Nothobranchius furzeri: one gene and its partner. The protein of the gene in region 1 purifies or fractionates together with the protein of each later gene. This does not show direct contact. Links are inferred from orthologs where the notes say so. Each region holds a gene or a part of one and is shown in the gene's direction. Other genes may lie near its edges. The genes, in order: nat10 and thumpd1.

What was found.
Region 2: the proteins of nat10 (region 1) and thumpd1 purify together in Homo sapiens (co-immunoprecipitation; 3 studies listed by BioGRID and IntAct, counting the BioPlex papers as one, with this or other methods). This does not show direct contact. The link is inferred for Nothobranchius furzeri from reciprocal best matches to the Homo sapiens genes NAT10 and THUMPD1.

What each region holds. Positions count from the first base shown.
Region 1 is NC_091744.1:58,958,334-58,962,161, forward strand, and holds part of nat10 (RNA cytidine acetyltransferase), read left to right. Parts: intron 1-276; coding exon 277-410; intron 411-493; coding exon 494-587; intron 588-671; coding exon 672-770; intron 771-840; coding exon 841-977; intron 978-1,060; coding exon 1,061-1,185; intron 1,186-1,263; coding exon 1,264-1,414; intron 1,415-1,545; coding exon 1,546-1,642; intron 1,643-1,714; coding exon 1,715-1,831; intron 1,832-1,908; coding exon 1,909-2,010; intron 2,011-2,089; coding exon 2,090-2,164; intron 2,165-3,587; coding exon 3,588-3,704; intron 3,705-3,769; coding exon 3,770-3,828. UniProt on the Homo sapiens protein: RNA cytidine acetyltransferase that catalyzes the formation of N(4)-acetylcytidine (ac4C) modification on mRNAs, 18S rRNA and tRNAs.
Region 2 is NC_091744.1:8,209,031-8,211,581, reverse strand, and holds the end of thumpd1 (THUMP domain-containing protein 1), read left to right. Parts: intron 1-835; coding exon 836-998; intron 999-1,081; coding exon 1,082-1,443; 3' UTR 1,444-1,817; downstream 1,818-2,551. UniProt on the Homo sapiens protein: Functions as a tRNA-binding adapter to mediate NAT10-dependent tRNA acetylation modifying cytidine to N4-acetylcytidine (ac4C).

The sequences.
Region 1 (3,828 bases):
CATCCTTATTGTTAAAAGGGAGTTTTCCTCTCCACTGTCGCTATATGCTTGCTTAGTATGAGGATTGCATCAAGTCACTGACTAGTGTCAGTGACTTGATGCAATTTGCTGGGTTCCTTATATAGGAAACATTATTTCTGATTGGCTTAATGAACTGACCTTTATTGGAATGTTTATTATGTGAAGTGCCTTGAGACGACTCTTGTCGTGATTTGGCGCTGTATAAATAAACTTGAATTGAATTGAATTGAAGGATGTAATCCTGTTTTCCTGCAGGCAAAAGCAGTGCTTAAATTTATCGAAGCAATCTCAGAGAAGACCCTGAGGAGCACCGTTGCTCTGACGGCCGCTCGAGGTCGAGGCAAATCCGCTGCCATGGGCCTGGCTGTGGCTGGAGCGGTGGCCTTTGGGTACAGATTAGTTTCGTGATGTCACAACATTACACATGTTGTGTCTTTGTCGTCCTTCATCCATCTGCCTTTGTCTCGTTCAGCTACTCCAACATCTTTGTAACCTCTCCAAGCCCAGACAACCTTCACACCATGTTTGAGTTCATCTTCAAAGGCTTCGATGCGCTGCAGTATCAGGTAGACCTGCTCACTTATTCTGTCTGATGGTAAATTACTGATGACGTAGAGGTATAAACACGTCACGCTTGTGTGAACACGCAGGAGCATCTTGATTATGAAATCATCCAATCATTAAATCCTGAATTTAACAAAGCCGTGGTGCGAGTGAACATCTTCAAAGAGCATCGACAGACCATTCAGGTAACCAGTGGATTTGTCGTATTGTTTCATTTTAAGAAGAGAGGTTTGAGCGTTCTTTTGTGCCCGGCAGTACATCCACCCAGGGGACGCGGTAAAGCTGGGCCAAGCTGAGCTACTGGTGATCGACGAGGCTGCGGCCATCCCTCTTCCTCTCGTTAAGAATCTGCTGGGGCCTTATCTGGTTTTCATGGCCTCCACTATCAACGGGTCAGTGGTAAAAACTGAAACATGTCCCTCAGAGAGCTTTGTGTTCATCGGAGTTCAGCAAACTAACCAGAATGTCTGTGCAGATATGAGGGCACCGGGCGCTCGCTTTCCCTCAAGCTGATCCAGCAGCTGAGGCAGCAGAGTGCAGAGACTCAGCAGAGCACATCTGCAGAGAACAGGACCACCAGCACAGCAAGGCTAGCAGCAGGTTAGCCTTAAAGTCTTTATTTTTATTGCCTAGGCTGTATGTACTGTCTAACTGATGTTTACCTGTTGCCGTACACAGCTCGCACTCTGCATGAAGCCTCTCTACACGAGTCGATTCGTTATGGTAGTGGAGATGCGGTGGAGAAGTGGCTGAACGAGCTGCTCTGCCTCGACTGCCTCAACATCCCCAGACTCATTTCTGGCTGCCCACTTCCACAGACCTGTGACCTGTATCCTTCAGTTTCTGATCAGTTAACCTGCTGCTGCTAAGAGACATCGACAAGTTCAGACTGACGGCCTTAACATCCTTAAATACAACAGGAAAATAAATGTGTATGTGTCCTTAGTGATGGCTGTCCAGCTACTATGTGAACAGAGACACGCTGTTTTGTTATCACAAAGCTTCTGAGGCTTTTCTGCAGAGGTTGATGGCGCTCTATGTGGCATCGCACTACAAGGTGGTCGGTTTTTCTGGAGCATATTATCACACGTTGTTCTTCCTGGTTGCTGACTCATTGTCTTGGCTCCAGAATTCCCCCAATGACCTCCAGATGCTGTCCGACGCTCCAGCTCATCACCTTTTCTGCCTCTTGCCACCTGTACCTCCTACTCAGAACTCGCTGCCCGAGGTCCTCGCTGTGGTGCAGGTAATCTAGAAACACCCTAAGATCCAGTCCAGTCGCTAACGGTTTCACATACTTCTTTGTTTTGTCTGCTATCTCAGGTGTGTCTGGAGGGAGAAATATCGAGGCAATCTGTCCTCAACAGTCTGTCCAGAGGGAAGAAGGCCTCAGGCGACCTCATTCCCTGGACCGTGTCGGAGCAGGTGACCACCAATCAGAAAGCTTTCTACAAACTTAAGTTTTAAAACTGAAATGAGGAATGCTTTTCTCGCCTCATCACAGTTTCAAGATCCAGACTTTGGCAGCCTGTCTGGAGGCAGAGTGGTTCGAATAGCAGTCAATCCAGACTACCAAGGGGTGAGAACACGTAAACACTACGGTTAACTGGTTGTTATGCAGTAAGCGGTCAGGAGTGGTTTGTTTAGGCTTTAGCAGCCAGAAACCTGGATTATCAGTCAAATTAAAGGAGGGACAGGAAGGCTCCCTCTCTGATTAGATTTTGAATTCAGCTGGTTTATTGTCAATTTAATGCTCAGTGTTGCCAAAAGTCTTTAAAAATAAATAAGTTGACATGAAGTCAAATATAGAGCAGCAACAGACGTTTCAGGAAGAAAGACTCAAAGAGACCTAAAACAATAATAAAGCTCTCATTTCGGTATATTTGCAGTGGTCTCTAGTATTAATGGATGACTTGTGGGTCGATCTCTGTGGCGCTAGTCCTTTGTGTCTGCTCTGGCGCTCCTGTTTGGAGGGGTCAGGATTTTGAGTCTTACTCATTAAAATTCATGATATTCAGACATCTCTCCTCTGATTGGCTAACAGCAACACAACTCTACCACTGACTCGGTTTGCTCTGCACAAATAACACAAGCCTGGAGGAGTTCTGCTGTGTGGTGGAGTTGATAATGCTAACAGTTAGCTTCTACTAGCTAAGACGTTCTCTGTTGTTTCCTGGACGCTAAAACAGCAACAGCCTTCCCCGTCCCGAGTCGAGATGGGCGAGTCCATGAATGTTAAGTGACAGAGTGATGTAGATCTGTCAGGATTTTTAATCCTAGCGTTTCATCGTCTATTTTCTGTCAGAATCTATGCGGGAGATAGGTGTAGGAGACTATTTTCATGTTCAGCCTGCATGAAAACTCAGTGACAAATCATATTTCTGTAATAAGAAGGAAAAATGGTTTCTCAGTGAGCGTGTTCTTTAAACATCCATCTGTGCAAACACACAACATCATAAATAATTACTCAAGTTAGATAAATATCACGTTACTTGGTTCGAATACAGAGTCGCTCTGAATTGAGTAATTTCAAGGCTCAGGCCCTCATCGGTGTTTATCGCCTTCATGTAGCCTAATGAAATCATTACACCACGGTGGCGGTCGGCAGCATGGGCCTTTAGGACAAGGTGAAAATGTGCTGCATCAGCTCCATAGAAGGTAATAAGTGAAATCCAGATGAAAGTGAACCTATTTCTACATAAAATTACGAAAGCGAACAGAGTTTGTTTATCTCTAGAGTACGTAGTAATTCCTAGAAAACAGAAACAGCACAGGCCTTTTGTCCACTAATTTTTAACCACATTTATTATGAGTGCTCTGAACTAACGTCAGTTAATTTATGCTTTCTGTAAAGATTTGCAGCGCTTTGACTTTTCCTATGGAGGAGGACCTTTGTTAATGCTGTATTAAAAATGCGTCTGATCGTGCTTTAAACTTGAACCACAGCGTCAGAGAGACAGATCCCAGATCTGGTGTAACTAGAGACTCATCCTGTCCAACAGATGGGCTACGGCTCCAGAGCTCTCCAGCTGCTGCAGATGTACTACGAGGGCAAGTTTCCCACTATGGATGAGAACTCCCAACCAAACCACACTGGAATCGCTTCAGTCAGCAGTGAGGTATGGCTTTAACCCCTTTTGGTCATTTCTTCTCGTTATTGCCTGACAGAAGCTCTGTTGTCCAGGCCGTGAGTCTGCTGGAGGAGGTGATCACACCTCGGAGAGAGCTCCCCCCTTTGCTGCT
Region 2 (2,551 bases), about 51 Mb from region 1:
TTCTACACGTTTTTTTACTCACAAAGATTGTCAAGAAAGCGTGTTTGTCGTGTTCATGTCATATTAAACTGATCACAAAACACAGATTTACTTTCTTTATTTCGTTTCCTCATCCAACCCCCATAAATCCCTGTGTGTCCTCCTGCAGCTCTCCCGAAGGACAACAGGCAAGACAAGACAAAAAAGTCTGACGTGTTGAGTAAAAACTGCTATTTTTAGCATATTTTTAGGTCCGACGTGTTGCTACCAGACGTACAGTGTGAGCAGTCAGGTCGCATCCGAGAACTGGGTCGTACAGTGTGAGCGCCTGGCTCGTGAGATCTGCCCTGCGAGGAAGTCGTACAGTTTGAGCTGAAGCTGAACGCTGCGAGTGAAAAAGTTGCACAGTGTACGCCCGGCTTTAGTGTTTCTCTCATTTAACGAAACGGATGCAACCTCAATCATGCCCTTATATGATAGACAAGCTTGCAAAATTCTTATGCTTGTTTGTCCAGAATGAAAATACCAGCATAACACAGTAGAATGTAGTAAAACTAGATTGGGTTGTTTACCAACTAAAAGGTTAAGGGAGAAAACACATAAAAAGCAGTCAGTTTATTTTGTTCCTAACAAACACCTCACTCTTGAAGGACCATGCTACTTCACACTACCTCTACATCTTATAAAAATTGGAAGACACCCACCTGTCGATGCACTAAACAGTAATGAGATAACGTGGTTGTGTTTTTTATCACGGTTTTACATGCCATTGTCTTTTTTTTTTTTTTTTTTTTTTTGATGAGTCTGCAGTTTTCCCTTCAACACCTGCAGTCGCTGATGTTTTCTTCTCCTTCAGGTCATTGGAACATGCAGGGCTTACCAGGAAGATATAGTAAAATATCTGACCACGTTCCTGGTGCCTTGGTTTAAAGCTCCCAACAGCACAACCTACAAGATCGCCTACAAAGCTCGCAACAACAACCAGAACAAGCGAGAGGAAATCATCAAACATGTTGCAGGTTAACTCAGGTTCATGTTTATTTTTTAAATTTTTATGTTTTTTGACGTCGAAAACTGACCAGTCAACTTTTCACCAGTTCAGGTGTTTTGGGAAGCCTGAACCAGGAAAACAAAGTGGACCTGACAAACCCTGAGCTTACGGTCATCGTGGAGGTCATCAAGGCCGTTTGCTGCGTCTGCGTGGTCAAAGATTATCAGCTGTACAGAAAGTTTAATGTTTATGAAATAGTAAAAGAAGACGTTCCCAAACCTGCTGTGGTCGCCACAAACACTGACGCAGAAGAACTCGGTAAAGGAGAGTCCGAGAAAGTGGAAGAGAAGACGGGTGAAAAGGAATCCCAAAAGGAGAAGATGAATAAGGGTGCTGAAGGTGTGCAGGTGGAGAAGAGGGCAGATGGCTGTGAGGACAATGAGGTTAAAAAGGGAGAAGATGGCGGGGATTAAAAGTTGACAGAAATCAGTCTGCTGTTGAGGCTTCATCTCAACGTTATGGTCTCAAAACCTTTGCTAAACAAAACAGATTTTTTTTTTTTTTTTACAAAAGTCAGAAAGATCTAATGTTTTATTACTTGATACATCTGAGCGTTCATTAGTTTAGAGTTATTTTATTAAATCTGCATCTTAAAACACAATTTAGTTCTGGCTAGGTTTTAAATGTGAATTCTGATTTCAATAGTCTAGTTTTACTTTTTTTATTTTACACAAAGTTGACATGAGGACAACATGATGGATATTCTAAAGATGAGATCTGACTATTTATAGGCAGGAACCCATAAGAACCTAGCATGAATCCACCATAAAAACTATGTGGTACCTGACCTGTCTGTTTTTTGTTTTTTCCTGAACTCTGCAGATTTAAAGCCATTATTTTCTTTGATTATTCAAAGCAATCTCTGTTCTGTACTTTTTCTAATTGATGTTTACATTTTAAGAAGGAAAGGGAATCGGATATTAAAAAGAAATCTGCTCATCCTGAATCGTTCTGGTCACCAGCTCTGAACATGAGCACCTCATCCATGAAATACAGGTGCTGGCCAGTAAATTAGAATATCATCAAAAGGTTGAAAATATTTCAGTAATTCCATTCAAAACGTGAAACTTGTACATTATATTCATGCAATGCACACAGACCAATGTATTTCCAATGTTCATTACATTTAAATTTGATATTCATAAGTGACAACTAATGAAAACTCCAAATTTGGTATCTCAAAAAATTAGAATATTCTGAAAAGGCTGAATATAGAAGACACCTGCTGCCACTCTAATCAGCTGATTTACTCAAAACACCTGCAAAGGCCTTTAAAAGGTCCCTCAGTCTTGTTTTGAAGGCACCACAATCATGGGGAAGACTTCTGACTTAACAGCTGTCCAAAAGACAATCATTGACACCTTGCACAAGGAGGGCAAGACACAAAAGGTGATTGCTAAAGAAGCTGGCTGTTCGCAGAGCTCTGTGTCCAAGCACATTAACAGACAGGCGAAGGGACGGAAAAAATGTGGTAGAAAAAAGTGTACAAGCTCTAGGGATAACCGCACCCTGCAGAGAATT